Linked DNA regions of Schizosaccharomyces pombe. Changing the gene in region 1 together with any one later gene gives a genetic interaction. Each region holds a gene or a part of one and is shown on either strand. Other genes may lie near its edges.

Region 1 (8,303 bases):
TACTACCTTACTGCGCACCATCGTCGACAAAGCTGGTGGTGATGGTCAAAAGTTTGAGCGAAGTGTTACTAGTCGGTTAGTTCGCTTGCCTGCTCAGGATCCACCTCCAGAACAAGTGACTCTGTCACCTGAAAGTGCGAAACTGCTGCGAAATGCTCATGAACTTCAAAAAACACAAAAAGATTCTTACATTGCTCAAGATCATTTTATCGCTGTGTTCACTAAAGACGACACGCTAAAGAGTTTATTGGCAGAAGCCGGTGTCACCCCGAAAGCGTTTGAATTTGCTGTAAATAACGTCCGTGGTAATAAAAGAATCGATTCAAAGAATGCCGAGGAAGGATTTGATGCACTAAATAAATTTACTGTTGATCTTACAGAGCTCGCTAGAAATGGTCAACTGGATCCAGTTATCGGACGTGAAGATGAAATTCGTCGTACAATTCGCGTACTTTCTAGAAGAACGAAAAATAATCCAGTTCTTATTGGTGAGCCTGGTGTAGGTAAGACCTCCATTGCTGAAGGACTTGCTCGTCGTATAATTGACGATGATGTCCCCGCTAATCTTTCGAATTGTAAGCTTCTCAGCCTGGACGTCGGAAGCTTAGTTGCCGGCTCCAAATTTCGTGGTGAATTTGAAGAGCGTATCAAATCTGTTTTAAAAGAAGTTGAAGAAAGTGAAACTCCCATTATTTTATTCGTAGATGAAATGCATCTTTTAATGGGCGCAGGTTCCGGTGGTGAAGGTGGCATGGACGCTGCCAATTTGCTGAAGCCAATGCTTGCACGTGGTAAGCTTCACTGTATTGGTGCTACTACTTTGGCTGAATACAAGAAATACATCGAAAAAGATGCTGCTTTCGAACGTAGATTCCAAATCATCTTGGTAAAAGAGCCTTCTATTGAAGATACGATTTCTATCCTTCGTGGTCTTAAAGAAAAGTATGAGGTTCATCATGGTGTTACTATCTCTGACCGTGCCTTGGTTACTGCTGCCCATCTCGCTTCCCGGTACCTAACTTCTCGTCGTCTTCCAGATTCTGCCATCGACTTGGTCGATGAAGCTGCGGCTGCAGTTCGTGTTACTCGTGAATCTCAGCCCGAAGTTCTTGATAACCTTGAGAGAAAGCTTCGACAACTCCGCGTTGAAATTCGTGCTTTAGAGCGTGAGAAGGACGAAGCTTCCAAAGAACGTCTCAAGGCTGCTCGTAAAGAGGCTGAACAAGTGGAAGAAGAAACAAGACCTATTCGTGAGAAGTATGAATTAGAAAAGTCTCGTGGAAGTGAACTTCAAGATGCTAAGCGTCGTCTTGATGAGTTGAAGGCTAAGGCTGAGGATGCCGAGCGTCGTAATGATTTCACTCTTGCTGCTGATTTGAAATACTATGGTATTCCTGATTTGCAAAAACGTATTGAATATTTAGAGCAACAAAAAAGAAAGGCTGATGCAGAAGCGATTGCAAACGCTCAACCAGGCTCAGAACCTTTACTTATTGACGTAGTTGGGCCCGATCAAATCAACGAAATCGTTGCAAGGTGGACTGGTATTCCGGTTACTCGTTTGAAGACAACTGAAAAGGAACGACTCCTTAACATGGAGAAGGTTCTCAGTAAACAAGTAATTGGTCAAAATGAAGCAGTTACTGCAGTTGCAAACGCCATTCGCTTATCTCGTGCTGGTCTTTCTGATCCTAATCAACCAATCGCATCTTTCTTGTTTTGCGGTCCTTCCGGTACTGGTAAGACTTTATTGACAAAGGCATTGGCATCATTTATGTTTGATGATGAAAATGCAATGATTCGTATTGACATGTCTGAATACATGGAAAAACACTCTGTTTCACGTCTCATTGGAGCACCACCCGGTTATGTTGGACATGAAGCTGGTGGACAGCTTACTGAACAACTTCGTCGACGACCTTACTCCGTCATCTTGTTTGACGAGATTGAAAAGGCTGCTCCAGAAGTATTGACTGTACTTTTGCAGGTACTAGATGATGGACGTATCACTAGTGGCCAAGGCCAGGTTGTTGATGCCAAGAATGCTGTTATCATTATGACTTCTAACTTGGGCGCTGAATACTTGACAACAGACAATGAGTCTGATGATGGAAAGATAGATAGTACCACTCGGGAAATGGTTATGAACTCGATTCGTGGCTTCTTCCGTCCCGAATTTTTGAATCGTATCTCTTCAATCGTTATCTTTAATCGTCTGCGTCGTGTGGATATCCGCAATATTGTCGAAAATCGTATATTAGAGGTTCAGAAACGGCTTCAATCCAATCATCGCTCAATTAAAATCGAGGTTAGCGACGAAGCTAAAGACCTTCTTGGAAGCGCTGGTTATTCCCCTGCTTATGGTGCAAGACCTTTGAACCGTGTCATTCAAAATCAAGTTTTGAATCCCATGGCTGTCTTAATTTTGAATGGCCAGCTTCGCGATAAGGAGACTGCTCATGTCGTAGTCCAAAATGGCAAGATATTTGTCAAACCAAATCATGAAGCTAATGCAAACGGCTCTGCTGATATTGACATGGATGGTATTGACGACGATGTTAATGATGAAGAATTGGAATAAATGTATTTCAAATGAGAAAGTTCTAACGATACTTTATGATATAGTTTAATGATATGCTTAATCTTAATATATTTTATTTATTTATAAAAATATAGTATATAAACTTTTTAGGAAGTACTGTTTTCTCATTAAAATGTTCAATGAACTTTATCGAATAGATAGAATCAATTTAACAAAAGCTAAGTACATCGTTTTTAGTTATTAGCAATTCAAGTATGATGAAACATTGAATCTTAAATTTATCAAATAATCCATTGTTATTTACGAAAAACCTCCATTTATTTTAGTAGGTATTAATTAATGCAGTCCATTCAAGAAAGTCGAGCTTGTAAGAAAGTGCTCGTAATTCCTTATAAAATCAAAGCAGAATTAGCTCTCATACTTTTAGTAGATTTTAAATTGAATTTACATGATTAACTTTAACATTTGGTAAATCACTATCATATCATTTCATTACTTTCTACACTTGCGCATTGCATACTAATACGCATTCCAGTTCTCATGGTTCAAAGCAACGTTTAAATTAACAAGTTGTATAGTTAAACTTATACAGTGCTTTGCTTCTAATAGCCATTATTACCAGGAAATAACGAGATCACAGTTGCCCGCATACCATTAAGCTAACGAAACTTTACTGCACTAAACAAGAGACTAGCTTTTCGTAATTGTAATAAGACTTATCGAAAAGTTGAACCAGAGATCTTCAGTTCAGTAGATCATTGCCTTTCTCAAACGAAGCTTTAATTTATACTTCCTTAAAAATAATTGATTAGTCATATTTTCATGTTATACAAACTCTGTCATGGCTTCCAATCCGCTAGATAATAATATGCCGACGACTCCCGTTGAGGAAAAAATTCCAGTCGCTAGTTATTCTCCTAGCTCTTCTGGTAGTAGTTCCGGTGCTAGTTTACTAGTAGATATTATGTGCGGCAGTAAAGAAACTGAGGATGAAGAGGTTGATTCTGATGAATGGGATAAACCAGGTATGAATATCAACTATTAACTCCAATACCTTCAAGGGTACGCGCAAGTCTATTTGAATTTACAAAATTTACAATTGATCAACGATTTTGAGTTCAGGTTAGCTATGTGCTTTTCATATACTTTAGTTTATTTTAATTATTTAAAAAGTTAACGATTCCTTAGAAACAGAAAACATAAGTGATTTGGATGAACGATCCGAAATGGTCAGATATTTAAGGGCTTCAGGTAAGGAGTTACTTAATTTACATTTTAACTAGTATTTGTAGGCTATGCGAAATTCTTGGAGAAATATTTAATAGAAGAAGAGTTGCCTGTACGATCGATTTTAAAAAAACTTGGAATCAATTTGGTATGCTTACTGATTTATAACTTGCATTACATTAAATTAGCAGATTATTTTTGTTAAATTGCAATAATAATTTGGTCTACTGCATGTTTTGTTTTCTTATGACTTTACCTAGATTTATTAACGTAAATAGCCTAGTGCACTTGAAGAGTTTGAAGACATAGAGTATGCTTTTCTTTAACTTCCTTCTTATCTTTTTATCTTTTATTTTTTAAAATATCTGCTATCGATATACTAACGTGCTAATTAGTTTACTTCCTTTGCTGAAGGAAGTTTTAAAACGTGAGGTTGCTAGGAGAATCAAACTTCCACATTTTAATACCTTTGAAGATGTTGTTAATTTATTGAAAAAAGCTAAAAATGTTGTCGTCCTTGTTGGGGCAGGCATAAGTACAAGTTTGGGAATTTTAGATTTCCGTTCAGACAATGGTTTTTATGCCCGTTTGGCACGCCATGGATTATCGGAACCTTCTGAAATGTTTGATATCCATACGTTTAGAGAAAATCCAGAAATTTTTTATACTTTTGCTAGAGATCTTTTGCCGGAGACGAATCATTATTCCCCCTCGCATGCCTTCATTAGATTGCTTGAAAAGAAGAATAAATTATCAACATTGTTTACCCAAAATATAGACAATTTGGAAAAAAAGACTGGACTCTCCGATAACAAAATTATTCAATGTCATGGTAAGTATTTATTTTCCGATTTGCATCTCGAGCACTGGTGATTTTGTCTAATTTGATTATATAGGGTCTTTTGCTACCGCAACTTGTATCAAATGCAAGCACAAGGTGGATGGATCGGAGTTATATGAAGACATAAGAAATCAAAGAGTTTCTTACTGCAATGAATGCGGAAAACCACCCTTAAAATTAAGAAGAGTCGGTCAAAATAAAAAAGAGAAACATTATTTTTCAGATGGTGATAGTGAATCTTCTGAAGATGATCTAGCTCAACCTGGGATTATGAAACCTGATATCACATTTTTTGGGGAAGCCTTACCGGATTCTTTCTTTAACAAAGTCGGGAGTGGTGAGCTTGAAGAGACTGATTTATTAATTTGTATTGGAACTTCTTTAAAAGTGGCTCCTGTTTCAGAACTCATCAGTGTTATTCCTCCTACTACTCCTCAGATTTACATTTCGAGGACTCCTGTTCGTCATACCCAATTCGATGTAAATTTTCTAAGTCCTTATTGTGATTGGGTTATTGTGGAGATTTGTAAACGTGCTGGATGGCTGAATGAATTACAAGCGCTTTGCGATTTACCTGAGTGTCATAGTGGTTCCAAAACGCGAGCTTTCGAAACGGATTTGGATATAAAATTTGAGGAGCCCAGCACCTATCATATCACGAGCACAACAAACGGTAGTTGTTAATTTTAGGACTGATCGATCTATCGAAGTTGAATGTAGAAGCAAATATATTATATACATATATCGAGTATGAGAGCCAGATTATTGGACATTAACTTATTATCCGTTTGAGACTTCTTAGTTTTGTAAGTGCCATTGTTAAAAACTGTTTTTTCTCTTCGCACCTAATGTTTAAATCTGCTAAACTGGGTGAAAACACATTAAAACAAGTTATAATACATTTTACAATACCAAGGACTGTGTAATTAGTAAATGAACATTGAAGCAAATTACATTCATAGGCTATGCAAAATTAGCTACTTTTTTAAGCATAGTAAATCAGTGAAAATGACACAATTATTATTTAAAATTGAAAGATTGATTGGTACATATCAATACAACCAATGAAGCATCTAATTGTACGATACTAAAGAGAAACAACTGAAAACGGACAATTAGAAATTGGTCAACGATATTGACACTCAAACTCAAAAGAAGAAAACAGATTTAATGAAGAATATAAAATGCACGGATCATCGAAAAAGCCACCAAATCAAGCCCATTTACCTAACAAAGCCATAACTCCAGTACCAGCCATCGAGCATGCCAAAAGGTAAATAAGCTTATACCAGTTACGTTCTCTTTCAGGACTAAATAAGAAATCGTGTGCAAGTAATTCCACTAAACCAGCATAAACCAAAATTCCAGATGAGATAGCATCCAAAACACCTTGGGCAGCATAAGACCCATGAGCAAGAGGATCCCAATGCTCACGAACACCTAAACCAGCTGCCATACCAATAGGCGTAACCAACGAATAGATAACGCCCAACACCCAAGGTACCCATGCAGTTTTTGGGCCCCAGGCCATTCCCGCCAAACGAGAACCTAAACCACAACCTTCAAAGGCCTGATGGAAAATAATGACGGGAAATAAAGTTTTAAATTCTTCACCTGAGACGGCAGTTGTAAGACCGATAATAACACTATGCAAAATGATACTAGATTCAAGAATTATAAAGGCAGTAAGTTGTTGCTTTAGTAAGAAACTACGAGCTTCTTCTTTAGTAGTCAAATCGGTACTATCAGTATTCGTATAAGGTTCTAGTTTTACTTCTTCCAAGTCATCCTTTACACATTCATGCTCAACACCATCGGCACATTCTTCAATATCATAAACTGGATGTTCATGAACACCGTGAGCACCGTCTTCGTGACTATGACTGTGTTGTTTGGCACCAAGAGTTGGACCATGATGATCGCCGATTTCCATACCGAACCGCCATTCCACATAGCGATTCAAAAGGACCTCCAACAAGAGAATAAACCAACAAGAAATAAGACAAATACCTGGAGCCCAATCGTAACCTCCGAAAAGGTCGTCAAGACAAGGATCGTAAAGCTTGTTACAAGCAGGGGCTAACAAGTGAATAAAAGCAGTAGCCAAAATAACACCAGAACCAAAATAACGAGCGAATAGATAGAGATATTCAATATAAACGTTGGGTCTGTTTTTGGTGATTTTAGAAAGGACCAAAGGTAAGTTCATGCCAATTAATGAAGTAGCCAAGATAACAAAGATGGCACCAATACGATATCCCAGATGACCATATTCGTTGAATTCATTGGCATCACCTCCACAAGTCACAGTAGCAGAGCTATCATCGTCTCTTTTTACCAATGGACTATATTGCTTATTAAGAAAAAGATGTCTCAATATTTGGTGAGATTCTTGAGCAAGATATTGATTATATGAGTTAGATAAATTGTTTAAAGACATTTTAATGTACGAGAAAGATACAAGATATAACTCAACAGGGCAAAGTTTGTTTTCAACGAAAAACGTTAAAGAGAGTGAAAATGGAATAGAAATTTTTTAACAACCTCCGAGCTGAGCAGAACGAGTTAAAGGGAGCAATAAACTGAGAGGATAATAGTTTAATTAAGCAACGAGGAAATACCAAACGAAACCTGAAATCCAAAACCAAAAAAAATTAAAAAAAAAAATAACAAATGAGAAAGCGGGGAGTTGATTGAACGAACAATAATTAAGGGAAAAGCAAAATACGCGATAGGCGCACAGGAGGAAGACAAAAAGGGAATAGGTTGAAGTTGCAAAGAAAGATCTCCAAATAATCGATATTTTCTACCACAAAACAATAGCAAAATACCTTAGGAATCCAAAGTGGTTTAAAAAAACAAAACCAATACAAAAAATGAGTGATAAGATCTACAACCAAAAAAAAAAAGCGATCGTCCTTTTGGTTTTTTGGCTGATTGTATTCACTTAGTATTAGCAACGTAAGAGTTGAAGCAGGAGTGATCAGCAATCTCACTTGATAACGAAATCAATCAAAATAATCGTAAAACTGAACTTATAAACTGCCTTATTTTCTGCCAAATCAATCGATAAAGGATTTGCAGCGTAGAATACAAGATTGATAACGTACTCTAACAAAACCTAACAGAATACAAACAAAATACTCGGATCGTGGCTGGAATGAAAGGATCTGCTTTCTTTATATAAAGCCTTGGACTGTTTTTTTGACTGTCATTCTAATGATGTGCGAATCGACGTACAAGGGATAGCAACGACAGGTAACATGGTAATTTTGCACAGGAAAATTTGTACAGATCACCACGTATATCACTTGAAAGTCGGGATAACCAAGGTTTAAGGATCGACGCTTGAAAATAGGTAAGTAAATAAGCACCTCGAACCACCACACTAGATAGCAAACTGAATAAAAAGAAAACGACCCCAAGTGAAAGAAAATTCTTACAAACATTCAAATTAAAAAGAGAAATTTGAAGGATAGAACGAAGCAATGAATTAAGATTCGTTGAAATTCTATACTCTCAACACACACAAGTCGCATGTCCTTTTTGCATGACAACACATCACTTGACTAAATTGTAGACAGCATCTACTAAAAATAGGTAAATTTTATTTGCAGATTGACGTCGATCTGTCACAACCATCTTATTATTATTTCAGAAAAAAAAAAAGGACCAGTCGATGGTAGTATCGTA
Region 2 (5,156 bases), 2.3 Mb from region 1:
AAAAAACAGGTTGTTCCATCTTCACAACGACTAGCTGATTATAAGTGTGTAATTTGTCTGGATAGTCCGGAAAACCTATCTTGTACTCCCTGTGGGCATATATTTTGCAATTTTTGTATACTAAGTGCTTTAGGTACAACGGCTGCCACACAAAAATGTCCGGTGTGCAGAAGAAAAGTACATCCAAACAAAGTTATATGTTTGGAAATGATGCTCGGATCTCAAAAAAAGAAATCTTAACCGTACAAAATTCCGTATATACATATTAAGAATGTTAATGAAAGATGTGTGATGCACTGCTCAATGCTTTTTGCGGTTTATACACATCAAAATTGAGAATTGATTAAGAGCAAGTTATGCTAGTCATTACAAATTTTCAGTCCTTTGAATTTGCTCTCCAATCTGAGTCCCAGATAAAGAACCTGCATTGGAACGGTTGAGTATCTTCCTCAGAAACTGCATTTGAGTTTTTAATCAGTTCACCAACCGGTCTGGCACAAATCCAAAACTTCCGCCCGTAATTGATTCCCGGCTTCCTCACTGTCAAATACTTGCAAGGTTCCTTGTGACCCTCACAAAGTGGAGGAGCTCGTTCACTGAATATTTGCTTCCAGGCGTTCCCGTTTTCTACTTTTTTTTTTACTGTCAACCCTATGTCAGATTCATTATTGTTATCAAGGACCTCAATCGAAACGTCTTCTGTTTTATTGGTTTCTTCTTTCTCTTCCTTTTGCTTCGCAAAAAATGAAAGAAGCTTCGATTGTTCTTTTCGTCTTCTCTTTTCCGGTGGGTAGGCATCGACGTCTATGACAGAGTTTGCACGAGAAACAGTTGGTGAGGAGCCGCTGGACGCAGAAGCAGATACGTTTTCGCTCTGAGTGGGTGAGTTGTTTTTATTCTTTTTCATCGAATTGAAATGTTGGAACATTGAATGAATATTTTTTGATGGCCGATAGGCTGAATGATGCGCCGTTGATAGTAAAGGTGGTTCTTTTGAGTGACTTAGAAAGTTGGACAACTTTTTTCCTTCATATTCTTCTTTTAAATCTAAATATACGGGGCAATGATCTGAACCCATGACCTCAGCCATAATATCTGCATCTTGAACCCAAGGTAATAAATCGGGTGTTGCCAAAGTGTAATCAATTCTCGTACCTATCCATTGTAAAAAAAATAACAATTCAGAACTTACCATAATTTGTGGGCCTTGTATTAAGTCTTGTATTCCAACATGTAAACATTCCTTTCCGAGTAGGATGTTGAATACGGCCAATGTCCAACAGTAGTCCCAACCTGCTTGGTAGTAATAAATCACGTATCCATTGTCTTGATTCCATGATGCTTGGAATAAGACTCTCTCGAATAATGTCTTTTTGATCAGCAGTGTCAATAGGATTACACAAAATATTCACATCCCCAACGAGAATGATTTTTCGATTTCCTTCCTTTATCAATCTTTCAATTCTTTCTCGTAAGGCTTTATAAAAGGCCCGTCGATATTCTAGTCTATTTTCTCCAGAGTTTACTGGACAGTAAACACCGATTAGGATGAACATCTGAAAATCTAATAATATACACCTTCCTTCACTATCAATCCAATTAGCAGTTTTTCTGTCAATGTCTTTTGGGAAAAATCCTATCTTTTCATGCTCCGGTGCTTCTGAATATGAATATTTTTGTCCTCGTACTGGCAGGATGCCAGTAATTCCCTCTTCTGCTTTCACTGGAATAGCAACATCTTTTTTTACATAAAATCCAACCCCACTATAGCCTTTTCTGATCTTAGGAAATGTAAAATAACTGTCGAATCCCTCAACAACTGCATATTGTTGAGGAAAGCTGTCTTTCTGCATTTTCAATTCTTGAACACATATTACATCAGCCTGTAACTCTTGAAATATCTCTTTGTAGGAATTTTTTTTATTCCATGGAAAATAATTGAATGGATTCTGTATACCGTTCACATTCCAACTTAGAATTCGCATTCTTATAATTTTTACGTAGAGAAAGTGTGCGAAGGTAAAGGCGACAGACTTTTGAATTTACAATTGTTGACATAAGTTAATCTGATGGAAAATAAAATGCATTTGTTTAATTCGAGAATGAACTTTTTCTTTTCTTTTCGACCTTCTCCCTATTGAATGTTGATTTTCAAAAAAATTCTAGATTGACTAATATTGAGTTACAACTGTAAACAATCTAATGATTCTTTCTAAATATATGTCATTAAACGAGTATACATGTTGTGCTAGAAAGACATTATCTCAAACTGCTGTTTAAAAAAGCTATGTTTGGATACAAGGATGTAAATTGGGGTATTAACAGGTATCCAAAAAATCCATTAAAAAATAAAGAAGGTTTAGTTTTTCGTGTAAAAAAATATGATTAGCTCTCCATGTAAGTTAGGACTATTGACAATCTTCATATACATTTAACCAACAGTAATTACGAAGAATCATTAAGTTGAAGAGATTCTTCTGAGTCGGATTCAGAGCTATCTTCAATTGGGTTTCCCGTAGCATCTGTAAGATGAATGGTTTCTATTTGAGGAGATTCTGCGTTTGCGTCTAATGTATCATTCACTTCTTCGAGGTCCTCCACATCATCAATATTTTGCTCAACTTCATTTTGTGCTATATCCTCCGCAATTCGTTCTTCTTCTAATTCGTCTTTTTCTTCATCTAGAGGAGTAGTGTCATGCGCGTCTATTTTGGCTTTCTTTCTGTTATCAACATCTGATACGTTAGGGAGTTTCAATCGTTTTTCTTTCAAGGCAAGCTCATATGCTTTAATAGTTAGAAGAAGTACAGAGTAAGAAACATACCTTCGAGATGTTTTTTTAACGTTTTAGAGAATTCTGGATACTCAATTTCATCGAGCGCATTCAAAACGTCTTGAGGCATAAGAATTTTTCTGTTATTATTCGTAGCAATTTCCCCAGAACTAAGTAACGTTAGTCTTTATTCATTCATATACAAAGTGTTTCCAGAAGAAAATAAAATTGGCAATTATATAATAAATTCTTTCATCATACAAGCCCTTCAATATGGTTATATAGTTATATAGATTACATACGCGGATGTTAGAAAACTAACAAAAAGAGTTGCTGAATTGATCATAGCCTTGAGAGCTTCTTTTTGTACAAGACTCTTTTCAGGTAAGACACCTTTGACTAATCGCATAATGATCGATCGAGGAAGCGCCAGATCATCCAATTCGGAAGTTTCTTTCGATTTATCTTGATTCATATTGATTTTCCAGCCGCTAGATCTTTTACAAACGCTGTATACAAGTCTTTTATAAATCCAATCCAAATATCATCCTATGGTCACCAAACGATAATCACAGAGAAAGGCGGTTGCTTCTTTTTAGCTAATTAATGTATAATAAATTCACTGAGTCGCCTATTTCTGTCAATTTTCACTAAACACTATCTGTGCGTTATGAGCAGAATCCGAGAGAGCCTTAGAGTTGAAACATTTGTAGAAATGCTATCAAATTTCTTAAAACTAAATAGTTGTACTGTTTTGTTTATATTAAATGAGTAAAAAAAAAAGTTTTTTAGCGTTGTTAGAAATAAATAAAGCTTTTTGATAACCATACAATACATTATTAAAGGCTCGATTTTTGATTGTAATTAATAGATAAAAACAACTAAATTTATTATCTTTTTTCAGAACACTCCAAAAACGTTCAATGAACGTTCTAAGAGAATAATAGGCAATCTCTTCTCAGTCGAAATAGCTCAGAATAGGGATATTACAAATGGGATTGGCAACATTTTTACAAGTTCGATTTTGGAATTGATAAAAATCATCAAATTATTTATTTCTGTTCTTCGCAAAATGTTGAGCCTTTCAATGAACTAATCCGCTTATGATGCTGAAAAATTGTTAGGTAGCTTGAGTATAATTAGATTCCCTTTTTACAATCTGTGATCAAAAATATACATGTTTTTGTTCTTTAATTTTTGTGAAGACCGACTTCCCTTTATAACTAGAAAGTCAGATTACAACATTCAATGATGGGCAAGTTTAGAAATGGAAAAACCAAATAATTTAATTTACAATTAGCAAAAAAACATAACAAACGAATAACATTTAAACTTCAGAAGCACTTTTAGGGTTAAACAGGGAGAATTTAGGATTCCAGATTTGACGACCTCAGAGCACTTGCTTCTAACCATCTCCTCGAACTCGTTTTTTAAGGAAAACACTCAAATAAAGTCATCAGGCGTTTATAAAAGAAATAGAAAGTTAAATCTAAATTAAATTATTAGTTTATGCTACATCCAAATAATAGCTGAATGAATCAAGCTACACAGATTATCCCATTCACAACTTCTGGGTCACTTGTTGACTACGTAGACAGTACGGTGTTTTTTCCAATGTTTTCCTTGATCTAACTTTACCTTTTAGGAAAAGTGATTGTTGTTTTACGAGATGGAAAAAAACTGATTGGAATTTTAAGGTCCTTTGATCAATTTGGTATGGTTTGCGTGAATAGGCGCATAAGTGAGTTTACTAACTGTGTAGCAAATTTAATGTTGCAATACACGATTGAGAGGATCTATGTGGATGATATGTACGGGGACATAGACAGAGGTGTGTATATTGTTCGGGGCGAGAACGTCGTGCTTTTAGGTGAATTGGTAAGTTTCGTTTGTAACATAAAATATTCGAGCATCTTTATAAATTTCTTTGAACGTGGGCTAAATATTTCGAAAAGGATTTGGATAAGGAGTATGATGCAGTCAAACAATTGCGACGTATGCCTGCTGAAGAACTGTATCCTTTGGCGAAGCTTCATGAAGAAGAGAAGAAGAAAAATATACGTGAGAAGGGCAAGTACCTTCATTCTGTAGGCTTTAGTGTTGACGGCGGACATGATGATTTGTATTAGACAACGGTTGAACAAATTTATCACAATATTGCTATACCGTTTGTTTACAGTCACGATAGAAAGCTATCTCGACCGCTGTTTATTCCCCTTTTAAATGGATGTAATGTAATTTTTAAGACATGAATCGTCATAATCCCATTACCGTTCGTTCAAAGTTTAGTAATCATTGTGCATCTTTTAAACATGCAGTTTTTATCTTTGTCTTTTTTTTGGGGTCCGTTAATACCAGAGATTCGTCAAAGTTCTGCTTAGAA

The links. Genes that interact genetically often act in the same process or in processes that back each other up.
Region 2: of sir2 (region 1) and dpb4, changing one enhances a phenotype caused by changing the other (phenotypic enhancement), as found in Schizosaccharomyces pombe (one study listed by BioGRID).

Annotation. Positions count from the first base shown.
Region 1 is NC_003423.3:3,606,637-3,614,939, reverse strand, and holds sir2 (histone deacetylase, Sirtuin family, NAD-dependent Sir2), read left to right. Parts: upstream 1-3,253; 5' UTR 3,254-3,383; coding exon 3,384-3,567; exon of another isoform or gene 3,568-3,730; coding exon 3,731-3,793; exon of another isoform or gene 3,794-3,830; intron 3,831-3,834; coding exon 3,835-3,917; intron 3,918-4,047; coding exon 4,048-4,079; exon of another isoform or gene 4,080-4,164; coding exon 4,165-4,601; exon of another isoform or gene 4,602-4,665; coding exon 4,666-5,294; 3' UTR 5,295-5,723; downstream 5,724-8,303. Other genes in the region: heat shock protein Hsp104, read left to right, coding at 1-2,581; plasma membrane ZIP zinc transmembrane transporter Zrt1, read right to left, coding at 5,824-7,050. UniProt on the Schizosaccharomyces pombe protein: Involved in silencing within the mating-type region, at the telomeres, and according to PubMed:12867036 also within centromeric DNA regions.
Region 2 is NC_003423.3:1,284,235-1,289,390, reverse strand, and holds dpb4 (DNA polymerase epsilon subunit Dpb4), read right to left. Parts: upstream 3,446-5,156; 5' UTR 3,249-3,445; coding exon 3,076-3,248; exon of another isoform or gene 2,944-3,075; coding exon 2,825-2,943; intron 2,787-2,824; coding exon 2,446-2,786; 3' UTR 2,270-2,445; downstream 1-2,269. Other genes in the region: SUMO-targeted ubiquitin-protein ligase E3 Slx8, read left to right, coding at 1-240; AP-endonuclease Apn2, read right to left, coding at 377-1,155, 1,193-1,985; mRNA-decapping complex subunit Lsm1, read left to right, coding at 4,307-4,370, 4,419-4,487, 4,536-4,651, 4,729-4,902; pig-A family phosphatidylinositol N-acetylglucosaminyltransferase subunit Gpi3, read right to left, coding at 5,066-5,156.